Caenorhabditis elegans: one gene and its partner. The protein of the gene in region 1 interacts with the protein of each later gene in a biochemical or structural test. Each region holds a gene or a part of one and is shown on either strand. Other genes may lie near its edges. The genes, in order: flp-21 and npr-2.

Region 1 (5,838 bases):
AAGGGCGGGGCTAAAAGTTCCGCTCCGCAGCAGATACTAAAGGGACGATTCAAGTCGGTCTAGTTGTTCATCGCTTCTTTTTTTTCGGAAAATGATCTATAAAATTGTTATTTCAATGACAAATTTGTTGTCTATAATTATAGTTTTACATATGTTGTTCTAACTTTCCAGTTATCATCACTTGCTACAAGATTTGTTAATTTGATTCTCAGAGCTTATACTTTCACGGTCTACATATCTTCTGCTGCAGAATATTCAATGAAAACTAGGTCCAGTGACCGAAAGTGGAAAAAATTTTTTCAGTCATTCTAATTTTTCTCATACAAAAACTACTACCTTGGGCCTACAGCTAGAGTACACTTTTTCAAAGATTAAATTGAAATGAGGTCTTGACGAATTACAAAAAATACACATGCAGGCGTGTAGGCATAAAATAAGCCTTCCCAAACATCAATAAACGTTCTGAACCTGGTCCAAATTTTTGTCCATTTGTTCTAGGACAACTTTTATTATATTTGCGTAAAATTTCTGCGCTATGCCCAGTGTAGCAAAATTTTGGAAACTCGGTTTTCCAATTTAACATTGTAAGCATTTTTTTAAAACAAATTTCGAATTAAATTTTGGCAAACTACACGAGCTGGCTATTTGTATATTGTTAGATCCGAGGGTGGACGGCAAAGGGCGATTTCGGCAAAAATTTTCCGCTGCCTTACTTTTTTTTAGAAATACCGTAACCTTAAGTTTGGCCTATAACTTTCATGGTAGGCAGGTACGCTTTCATGTCTATGTACCTTTCTCTTGTCCGAATGTCTGTGTTTGCCGCAGTAGAATTTTTTTTTGAAAATCATTTTAGGTTCACAAAAAAACCGGAAATATGTAAACGCAGTCACCTATTTCTTGATAGTTACGTCGTAAGAAATTACTCTCGTAAATTGTACGGAACTTTGATCACTCGTCTGTCTTATTACTGTGGAGTCTATGACATTTCTGTCTGAACGCTGTTTCGTAAATAATAAAATGACAAATTAATAGCTTAAGCTCTGATTTTAAGCCAAAGCCTTCTTATCCTGGAATTTTATTCTAATTTTCAGTCTTCGATATCATTCCTCGAAAAATCACAAATACATATGGTGATGTGAATACTCGTCTGTAATTGTTAGGTGGCCACTTCGTAAAATGCTGATATTTCCAAAACCAAAATATAAGAGATCTTGGAGAAAACGCGTCAAAAACCAGCATTTGACGTGTACCTCTACAAATTCTTTCACCTGCCAAATGTTAAATTTGATCTACTGACCCACTAAAACACTACTTTTTTTGTTACCAATGACAATTTTTATGCGACTTTGACATTTGGACAGGGAAAAGTTTTTCCATTCTTTAGTTTGAAACCGAGTCCAAAAATTACAAAATTTTCAAGTTTTTATGCCTCGCTAAACTCTCTAAAGAAGTTTAACTTTGAAAGTCAATGAGCCAACGAAAATTTGTTTCCTCTTCTTCGATGATGACGAAATGTGCCCCGAAGTAACTCGATAATCGTGGAAATCTCTACTTTTTTCGGCTCATAAAGCTTCTTTATTTCTTTTTTTGGTTTTCATCGAAAACTTATCGTATCAAAAACTACCAACTTTTTTGAATATTTGTAAGACTACATTTTCTCATCACTTTTACCCTCCACCTCATCGTTCATCACATTTATCTTACTCCCACTTGCTCTTCACATCACTTTTGTGGGTATATCAATTGGTTGGTGTTTTTTATGTGTTTGTGAATGTTTTGGGGAAGGCTGTGCAAAAATATCAGAAAAAAGAAGAACCTACATGCATTTTGAGGTGGTCTTCATTGTGACTGTTCCTCATTTGGTTGAGATGTCTGCGAATATTAAAAATCTTAAAGACTTTTTTGACCAAAACAATGTGGTATTAAAGGGGAAAAGAAAGAAGAACGTATGTCAACAGTTTTCCTAGTTCAGTCCTAGATTTTTTTTTCAAATCAACTGTCACATTTTTAAAAGGTTAGATGTGTTGTGGAAATCTCTACTTTTCAATTAAAGTTTAATAACTTTTGGCTGTATCAAATACGTGCATTGAAACTCAACTGTTCTCACCTTAAAGTTTTCTGATGCGTTTACAGTCGGGACCAACTACTTACACTGAAACATGTTTATCTTAATTAAGCGGAGCACACTTCCTTTTATTCAAAAAACCTCATAATGCACAAGACGCTGTTTGCTTTCTTTCAAGACCGTAATTAGACAAAGTCATCGAGCAGTAGATTTTTCAAGTCAGCTATTTTCTTTATTCCAAAAACTGCATATTTGTAATACTCATGAATTTTTCATATTTTATGGTTACTCAAAATCTACACGTCTTTATTACAATCTCTCGTTGAATTATCGCGTAAAATTACATCTTCCAAAATAGGACCATTGTTGTTTTCAAGTCATAGCATATTTTAACGCGATTTCCGGCCACCTCAACTATGCTCTGCAACGAGTATGACGTGCCCAATAAATATTGGGCTATCCTGTTTTCCCACCACATACACCCTCCTCATAGTTCCCAGAAAAAACTTTTACCGGAATCACGTATACATATAACATCATCTTACCTGAAAAAACATTTCGATGTATCATTTGCCTAGGTTCTAGGATGGGTGGTTGCTCTTGGAGCAAAGGTCATTTTTGTGAGTAGTCCAGTAGATTTGGAAGGGGATACACTGAAATATTCATTTCTTGTTTCAAAGCTACCGTAGTGATCACTTCCGTCTTACTATTTATCTCAAAACTTCTTTTTTTCCACCCCATCCCATCATGCTTCGCAAGAATCTCATTAACAAATGCAAATTTACAACGATGACTATGTACACTATTTAAGATTTGATTGTGTATTCAACGTTTGATCTCCCACCCTCTCATTGCTCCAAAATCCAAAAAGTCATTTTCAGACGATGCGGCTGTTCATCTTGCTTTCGTGTCTTCTCGCGTGGGTCCTCGCAGCGCCTTATATCGATCAGGAAGATGCGCTCCGCGTTTGTAAGTTTTGTCAAAGTTAAAGATTTAGATTAATCATTAATCTTTTTCAGTGAACGCATATTTGGAGCAATTCGGACCCGGCAGTGACAGAGTTTACTATGTTGCCGAAGACGATCATGGGTAGGTCCAGTTTAATTATTTTCTGATAGACATCTTTATTAAGTCAAGTCTTACTGTAGAATAAGTTGCAAATCGCTATAATTAATAATTTACCGAAATACGAGCATTCAGCTAGAATAAATTAGTTGCGATTCAGAAAAAAGTAAACTAATTTTAAAATTTCAGATCAATGAAACGTGGTCTCGGTCCTCGTCCTCTCCGATTTGGATAAACGGTTGCTGCTCGAACGAACGAACAACATGACACAACATTTTCTCTCTTTCCTCTCAATGTAACTTTATACAAAAATGATGTTCCAGACACTCCACAATTCCAATTCCGAAGAAATATCTATCCTCTCCTTTTCTCTTTGAAAACGCTGCAGAAACAATGTTCTTTTTACTCTCTCTCTCTTTTTCTATCTCACTTCCTCTTTTTCTGTTGAACAAATAAAAACAGCTTTCAGTTTGACATTTGACTTTTTATTAAGTTTATGAGTGCCCTTATATTTAAGAATTTTCCAATTGTGCAATTGTACCCTGCAACTGTAATGGTAGAATCCGGGAAAATCAGTCAGGATTACATTAATGAAACAGTTGGTGTCTTCCCTGCAGGGGTTGAACAAACATTATGGATACTGTTTCAAGGATCGTAGTTGCCGTAATAAATCCATTGAGGCGTCTATCTCTTGAATTTCTAACATAATGTGCCGACTATATAGTAATAAAGCTCCTGAAATTGAGTTTTGGGTGCCAATTTTGTAGTTTTGTGGAAAGTGTAATGATCGTTGAATTTTGGTTTTTGATGATTTTTAAGAACATTTTCCGAGAAATTTCGTATGGCAATTAATACATGGAAAAAATCAGTCCTAGGGATTTTATTCACAATAAAACCGAGAATTCCCTAGAATTGAAGATAAAGTAGTACTTATACATAGTTTCCTACCAAAGCCGAGCCGATTGCAAAAGTTTCGAAAAAATAAAATATCCAATTCGGTTTATGATTACCGCGAAAACAGAAAATAACATATTTTGAGCAAAAATTCTAGTGTTTTTCAACAATACATTTTAACGTTAAATTCTTAGTTTGGTCAATTCAGCATTCGGGGCCACAAACTCCTGCTTCGATCTCTGCACAAATTTCTGTTATCCCTAAAAAATTATCACATTATTTTCAGCCTTATTCATTTTTAGTTAACTCAATATTCGTAAATTACGTAATAGATATTGTCGTTTTAGGATCTCGTTGTACATTAATCTCATCCAAACAAAGAAAATGAGCTTTAAAAGCTCTAAAAACGAGTAAACAAGGTATTCATCAGACAAATGGTTCAAATCGCAATAAGCTTTTTTCTATTTAAAAAAATATAGGTAAAGACCAAAATACAGGACCTTTCAGATTAATTATATTTTTAAGCTTATTTTCAAAATCTAAAACCAAAAATAAATATTTTAAAAATATTGAAATTGAGTGGGCGTGGGAATCTGGAAAGTTAAATATTTAATTCAAAACACAAACGTCTAGAAATATGAGACGAACTACTTGGACTTTGGCCAATATTCAAGAGTTCTTTGGTGTGATTTTTAAACATTATTTATAGAAGAGATTTGTCTATAAGTGGCTAAATACTGCTATAACAATTTTTCTAAAAATATTTCTGCCCAAAAAATTGTATTTCTACTTCTGTGATAAGTTGCATCATTTTTATAAATTTTCTACAAATTCAATTGTTCAATTTTGTGATTTTTTATGAGTTTTTTTAGAGTCAATTTTCAAATTTACCCTTATCTCAAAGCTAGAGGTTCAAATATTTCTCTTTATGTTTATCTATGAAGTTCATCTATGATGTGTGGGTTGAAAAAGTGTAATCGTGACAAAATAAGCTTTGAAATTGCTTTATGTTTGTTTTAATTCTGTCTCAAAGTGTTTCAATAATGGTTAAAGATTATAGAACATTGTTAGAAGATTCGTTCGGTTAGATTTCTAATAAGTTTGGCTTTTTTTAAATTTTGTCTCAAAATTTTATAAGAAGTATATTTTGTTCAGAGCCTAAATACAATTACAATATTCCAAACATCAGAACACAATACTGTAAAATGTTTTCAGGTTTTTTTTTCAAATTTTTTCAGTGAAAGTTTTGATCAATTATTATGTTACTCTTTCATTATTATGTTACTCTTTCAATGAGAGTAGTGTCCAACGGCAACAATTTTCAATTGCCAGTGATAAAAGTTTTATAATATAATAAAAATTAAAAAAAAAATCTTAATGGTGGCTCCATGTAGGCAAGAAAAATAAATTTTATTACAAGGTAAGTATTTCAGCTCCCAATTAAACTGAAGTGAAACCTATCAAATTGAAATAGGGCCTTTAAATACGGTTACAACAAGATAATTATCAGCAGAGGAGGCCGTTGAACAAGAAAAATTGATTTGAAAATAAAATGAAAAGAAAATTAGTTGGGGTAAATAAAGTTTCAGATTTTTTCCAAAAAACATTTTTTTTAAATTAAAATCACATCATTAAAAATCTACAAACATTTACTTTTGGAGGAATTTAACTATGTAAATGTTCGCCGAAATGTTTTCAATTTGGTTGCAAATATGCTTCGAAGTTTTAAAAGTTGTAATACATTTGTGTTCCATTTTCAGATTCCCTTGACTAATCGGTTGTCGTTCAGAAAAACGAGGCATATTTACCTATCT
Region 2 (7,537 bases), on another chromosome or scaffold:
CGAGAAGACAGGAAACACAGGAAGCTTTAGAGGTGGGAAATATTAGTTAAATTATTATCAGTGAATAAGAAAAACTTTAAGAAAAACCAACAAAAAAATGTTTCACAGTTTTATATTCTCTGAAGAAATCATTTTCAGTTGTACCCGAAATAATTGTTTTTTAAAGGAAAATGAAGGAAACTGCAGTTTCAGGTATTCATATTTAATTTCTCCGAAAATTTTAATTGTAGTGTTAAAGATTGATAAAGAAGAAAATTCAAATTTTATCATTCGAAATTCCAACGTCATGCAAAACGATTTTGCTAGAAATTTCTCTTACAAAACGAATGCATTTTCCTAATCTTAACTTTGAAATCTAAATCTTTTAATTGGAAATAAAATTGAACTAAATAACTCATTGGCTTCTTTTTTCAGTCTTTGCGTTTCCTTCAAATATGAAACTAAAAGAAAAAATGCTCTTTTGTTGTGTCATGGGACCGAAATTCCTGTAAAAGTAGAACACTTTTATTTTAGAAATTTTTCAGACTTCAATATCTAAAATTTTTGTGCTAACAAAAAGGCTAACCTGCGAAGAGTGCAGTTGAATCAACTTTCTTCTCATTTCTTGTAGCATTCGAGTACCATCTGATTGTCGCAGCATGTTTTTCAACGCCTGAAAATAAGAAAAATAAGGAACAAATCTGAAAATGACAAGGGCTTCCAGTGAAAAAATGGCTCTGAATTAAGAGGTGTTTTTCTTTTAAAAAATTATTTTTTTCGGTGAATGATCATAAATGAGACGATGATGTCTGAAATTATGACAAGATGAAGGTGGGAGGAGCGAATTGTTGGAACAGGATTAATATTCTCAAGAATACGTGGATTTCAGTAAGAATTTGCTGATATAAAGGAAAATTAAAAATCTTTCAAATATTAAATTGACCTTTCGAGAGCTTTTGAAACTGAATATTGTCCTCAAGGTAGGGAATAAAAAATGATATGATCAGTGGCAAAATTGGGTTTTTTCGAAGAATTAAATCCAAAATCTTGAGCTTTTGTTACAAGAACCATTTTCAGGAACTCTCGCTTTGAAAAAAATGGTTTGCGATGCGAGTCAGTAATTATGGAAAATGTTTCGTGGGGAACTGTGGAGTTCAACAATAAATTTTAAAAAGTGATATCACGAGTTAAACTTTGAGTTGTTATAGCTCATTGACGTAAGTTCTTACTTTTATTTTTCTTAAAACTGCTTCCATTTGCGAGAAAAAGAATAAATATTTCATTTTTCCATCTCATGAAAAAACCTCCTCAAAGATCATATCTTAACGGGAGATGGAAGCAACTGAAGGAACTTTTTTTACTAGTTTTCTTGTTGAAATTTTTTTGCTGTAAATTGAGCTCAAAATTCAATTTTCTGAGCAATTTCCGGCACAAATTTCATTTCCTTTTGGGTCATGTTTGTGCATGTTCGGGAAGAGAAAGATGAGGTCTCAATTTTCAAAAAATTTCCACCGATTTGTGTTCTATGGATTTGAATATCCGAAAAGGTCATATCACACCAAGGAAATTATGAAAAATATTTAATCTCTGAAAAGCTGAAAAGATAATCAAAATAAAAGTTGTCGTGGGAGTTGAACAGGTGAATTTTTCTTTGAAAGCATATAAAATTTTTTGTGATAGACTGACTTTCAAAAATTTGTGATTAAAGGCAAAATTTAAAAAAGTGTTTCAAGATGAAGTAGATTCATTACTAATAATGCAAACTTAGCAAAATTAGTATTACGAACAAGTTTTAAAATTTTAAACATTCCAGTCAACGTTTTGATAACTTGCAAAATTTCCAAAAACTTCGGTTTTTAGAACAATCTCTCGTGTTTGAGCTCCCTATCTTTAATTACTAAATGTTTTTTAACATAATTCGAATATTTAAAAGGGAAGAGTTTTTTCGGGTCAGCTTTCAAAATTATGAGTTGCGAAAATTGAGTAATCACCACTTTTTGACTGTAAATAATTGAAATAATTAAACATTTATTTCAAAAATTTTCTATGATATTCGGTAATTTCAGCACTGAAAAGTGATCTTCTAACCACTCCCTTCAAAGGAAACATTCCACTTTTGACATTTATTTGGAATTACGTAGCTATATTCATTGCGGATCTTTTGATCGCAGATCTTGCCTCACAGAAATCGTACGTGGAATGTACGGTTGACTTAGTACAGTTGGGAGCTTTTCTTCTCGTTCAGCTCTAGAATATCAAAATGAAATTCAAGCTCAACGTGGGAAATGACCGGCTTTGTAAACTCTGTCTGTGTTTTTAACAACATTTCAGCAATTTAAAAACATTTCTGAAATTCTTAAAGCAAAAGAATTAGAATATTTGAGAACGCGTCAGTTCCTTTATAGAAACAAAGGAAGCACAAAGTTCATAATGTAAAACAGGAAAATGCCGAGGCGACAGAATTCTTCATTTTCTCGCCGACAACTTCATGTTAAGTTCTTCTTCTTCTCCGTTGTCGCATCATGAGAATTTGAATAATTCAGTGGAAAATGGCGAGGATGACTGGTTTGACACGTATATTGCTACGAAGAAAATGAAGACGTAAAAAAGGTTTCTTTTAGGATCAAGGCAAGAAAACATAAAAGTTGTCGTGTTTCTTTAGTGACTCATTTAGATAATGGATAATAATATATTCTTGGAGTGCGTATAAGAGATTGAACCTATGATTTCAAAAGTAAATAATTTAGTTTACTTATAGAAATTATTTTCTTAAAATATGCACATACACTAAAAGTATTCAGAAAAACGTTTTCAGCACCAACAATAAAGATAACTTGTGGCTTTAAAGTTATTTTGGGAGAAATCAAAATTATGACCATTTTTAAGCAAATAAAGATTTAAAAAATGGAGTCCCGAATAAACTTCTGCGTTTAAAAGTAGGTATTGCAGAAAATTACGAGTACACGATGACTTGAACCTATTGACTAATTTCAAATTGCAGAAAATTACAATTCGAATTTATCTAATAAGCTTGTGAAAAAATAATTTAGAATATTCCTTAATGAGGAAGTTTAATCTTTGAGAGTTGTTTATCGTTGCGATATTCAAATTTCAATGGCTTCAAACAACGAGTTTGAAGTCCTACAGTATCTATAAAAATTAATTCAAGTTTAGATTTTAAAAAATAGAAACGGAATTCGTTCAGTTTATCTTCAAATTTTCATGTGATAGCAAGTACTTTCGTTTTAATCTTTTTTTTTCAAATAAAATAAAACTAAAAGGATCAATTTTATTGAAAACTTTAAAAAATCTTAAAAGCTAATTAATAAAAATATGGGCGTTGCAGGACACTTTCAAAGAACATGAATTGCTGAACAAACTTGTATCTTTTGTTTTAAAAATATTCGTATGTCAAGCTCAAAGTCTCACAAATATTACAGTTTCCGGTATTTTCTAAAAAAAAACTAACTGACGGTTTAGTAAAATTTCGATTCATATGAAGGTTTTATTTGTAATTATTGGAAAATGGAAATCCTCAAAAAATATCCGGGAATCAGAACTTTTGGCACTTGTGTGTTTGCCCAAAATCGAAACGACTCGAAAACGACGATCGAAACGACTTTCATTTTTTGGGAATTTCTACGAGTTCACTAATTTGTTTTGTCTGGCTCAAAAATCAACGCGTAAAAAATAAAATCTTGCATTGTTCAGTTTTCTGACCAACAACAATAGAACTCTTGGTTTTGCAAAACTAACCGATTATAAATTCCAGGCATTTTAAATAACAAATGTTTTTAAAAAATTACTGAAAAGCGAAAAAAAATAATGTGAATGAATATTCAGAACCAGCTGAAATCTAAGATTGAAACCTTACATTTCCAGAAAAGTGTGTGTGAAAAGAATGAAGCCGTGGAAAAAGTTCAGTCTGATCAGATATTGACTCAATCTTTAGATTTTCTCAAAATTCAAAATCATTATAAGAACTGTGATTCAATAACAATATCTCCTTAAATGCAATTCACAGAAATTTAAGCTCTGATAATTTTTTTTGAACGAAATGTAACCTAGTTCAAGCCAATGTTTCCACAAAATTCACCTTTAAATTCATAAAAATTATGTACTTTCTAGAAAAAATCAGAAAAAACCATAAATGCTTTTTGTTGAGTTCTGTATAGTATTTTAAAACGTTAAATCACTTACCAAAAGGTCCGGAGCCTCAACACGTGTATTCACCATCGACATTATGAATTTACAGAAGTGAAATGAAACTAGTCGACTTTTCTCTCCAATGGAGGCGTTGACGTTGCTCTCCTGCAAATAATATGACAATTATTGTTATACGAATAATTTTACTTTTTATTGGATTAAATGTGCTTTAATCAAATGACGTAGAAAATGGAGTTTAGAAACTGAAAAAAGGGCACAGAAAAAAAACGTTAGAAAAATAAAGGCGTTTAAGTGAAAAACTGAAATTTTGATGGCGGAAGGAGTGATTAGAAGTTAAATCTGAAGCGAATCCTCTTAAATAAAAATTTTGAGATTTCCAAATGTTCTATAAGCTAAACGAGAAAGCTGCAAATAATGCAATTTTGCATTAAATAACAATCAAAATGTCAAATTTTGAAGGCTTCGAATACTTCAATAACTCATATCGGAAATCTGTCGTAGAAATTTAAATATTCAAAAATATTCAAAAAACCAAAAAAATGTTTTTTTTTGATATTAGACAATTCATTTTCGACATTCAAAACAAAATAAATTATGTTTTCATTGAAACTCGATTCTTCCCTAAATCCATTAGTAATGCTCATACGAATTTAATTTAAGCATACTCGCCTTCACATAATCGCAGTTTATTTTGAGCTATAACATGATTATTTACAACGAAACGAAATTCCAAAAGCTCAAAAAATCTCAAATATCGGAAAAATAAGTAAGCTGTAATTTTATCTGCCATGCTATTATCTATTCTAGCCTTTTCTGAACAGATTTGTCATTCTGATCAGAGATTTCAAGCGAAAAACAAAATGAAAAGTGTTCTCTAAACCACTTGCTTTTAAAATTTAAAAAACCGACTAAAAATTCACATCAGTCTACCTCTTCGTGCATCACATTTTGCACTTTTTGCCAGCAATTCATAAATAATTTAGTTGAAAGGCACAAAACGTTCGGAGATTAAGATTGTTCTTTTTCACTGCGATTTTATTTTTTAACTAGCGGCGGAAAAAAATCTTGCAAATTTGTGTCTGTGTGTGCCCACAAACGTCATCAAAAAAGTCGTTTATACTATTTTAGAACAAAAAACATCAGTACAGATTATTAGATTTCACAGAAATACTATCGTACGAGAAATCAAATAACTGAAAAAAAAAACTACATTAAACTTTATATTTTTCGATGAACACTTTTTTGCCTATTTTATTTTGGATTAAGAGTAAGCATCAAGTTCAAAATAACAACTGGCAAAAAATTCATGGAATAGAATGAAACATTCTCTTGAACAACGGAACAAGGCATTTACCCTAATCAACTTTACGATTCCACGTCATAATCAAGAATTCAAAGAAAAAATCTGAAGATTTTATAAGAAAGAGTTGGAGAATAAGGAATACATGGAAATGATATGCGAATGAGAGACTATAATTTATGAGAAATGATTCCAAGTTGGGATAGATTCCACATATAATTTGAATTTCTTTAAAGGGTATAATTATAAATAAAATGGCAAACTGAATGTGAAATAGAGAAAAAAATATTCGTCAAAAAAGAATAACATGAAATGGTTATTGTTTCGAAGTTTTATATGAAAAATATTTTTTAAAAAAAGTAGCAAATTTATTGGAAGTTTCTTCTCATTTTCAGAAACACTTTAAATACTGTTTTAAAGAAATTATGAATAAGCATTGTAACTGAGCTTTGATATTGGGAGTATCATAAGTTTTCTATAATATTGATTTAGGTATTCTACGAGATCTGCTCATTTTCGTCCTCCTCCTTGCCAACTCGGGCGCGGAAAGGCATTAAATCTTTAAAAAAAGAGGTGGCTTTATCCAAGTGCTAAAATTACGTACAAAAAATGCAAAAAAATTTTAAAGTGAAGAAATGCAACGTTTTCTTAGATTACACTGCAATTCACACGTCAAAAGGATTAGGACGAGTAATTTAGTAATTTCAAGCAAAAAAAGGGGAAATCAAGCAAAAAACACCCTGTTGAACCTCCGATGGTTTTTTTTTATGTTTTGCTCGTATTATTCACTATCAGGGATTTCTTTGATATTTTCATTATTTATTTTGGATAGTCGGAAAATATTTGTTTTGATAATTTTAATCAGAAAAAAAAAACAAAAGAGTCAGATAATCATTCATCAAATTTCAACAACCAAAAGTTACATTTTTGAACAAAAAAAAACAAACAAAACGCTTACCATTTACATTTATTGTCAGTTAAAAAAAAATAATTCTTTTTGAATTTTCCTGGAAATTTTGTAAGTAACATAACATCTGTACAGAGAAGAATATTCATTAGTGCTCTTCTACTTTTAGAATGTGTTTTTAGAAATGATGAGTTTTTACTTCCAAAATAGAGCGCAGAAAAAGTGGGCGAAAACCTTAATTTCTGGCGCTTTCCAAGAAAAAATAAGTTTGGTTTCATGGGACTTTGTCTGTGAATAAATTTGATGAATAAAGTAATGTGAACACTTTTAATTTAAAATTATTTTAAAAAAGTGTTTGAATTGAAAGTTTTTAAAACATCCATAAAGTAAAACGGAAGTGATGTAAGAGTTTGAAATACTATTAGAATTGAGTATTAGACTCCATTGTACGTAACAGACAATTAAAATTCTCTCAATTATATGAAATAAATTTAAATTTCAGAATTATGACACATCCCACGAGAACTTTCGAGCTTATTCATCAAATTATATTGTTGACTAGCCATTAGAAATGTCATTTCTGTTCAGAGTATTATATTATTGGTAAATATGGTGTCATTGCGGAAAATGATGTTATAATTCAAAAATTTCGACTTGTAGTTCAGAAACTGTGCTGGTATTGGAAAGATGTAGGAATTAAACTTAAATAAAAACCTTGAGCTTTGCATATATTTTCATAAACATTCATATTTAGAATTCGAAAATACTCTTCAATTTGAAAACATTATAAAAAGTTAATCGTTTCAAAAAATCTATCTCTTAAAAAGATCAAGAAATTTTAGACAAATGAGAAATTATAGAAAACAGTTGATTACAATAGAAAAAATTCCATTAGAGATTTATCAACCAAAAACAAGGAAAAAAGGAATTATATTGCATCTCTTGTGTATTCCAAATCTTCATTAAATGAACAATTGTAAAGTATAATCAAATAAAATTACTATTCGAGTTCTAAGTATAACCAACGACCAAGCTACATTTAAAAAAAATGAACAGAGAGGAATTATGATAGCTGGAAATTGAGTATTCTCTAATTTTGACTGTAAAAATAAAAAAAATAAAAAAAAACACACTTAAATTTTTGCGGAATTCAAGTATGGTGATCTTCACTGAAGTCTTATTAA

Evidence for each region.
Region 2: the proteins of flp-21 (region 1) and npr-2 interact in a test that uses a peptide from one of them, tested with the Caenorhabditis elegans proteins (one large-scale study listed by BioGRID).

What each region holds. Positions count from the first base shown.
Region 1 is NC_003283.11:7,790,421-7,796,258, forward strand, and holds flp-21 (GLGPRPLRF-amide), read left to right. Parts: upstream 1-2,946; 5' UTR 2,947-2,949; coding exon 2,950-3,034; intron 3,035-3,084; coding exon 3,085-3,154; intron 3,155-3,319; coding exon 3,320-3,365; 3' UTR 3,366-3,605; downstream 3,606-5,838. UniProt on the Caenorhabditis elegans protein: FMRFamide-like neuropeptide. Involved in modulating locomotion quiescence during the sleep-like state called lethargus which occurs during molting between larval and adult stages, acting via the G-protein coupled receptor npr-1.
Region 2 is NC_003282.8:9,575,832-9,583,368, forward strand, and holds the start of npr-2 (G-protein coupled receptors family 1 profile domain-containing protein), read right to left. Parts: upstream 4,291-7,537; 5' UTR 4,222-4,290; coding exon 4,180-4,221; intron 653-4,179; coding exon 566-652; intron 1-565.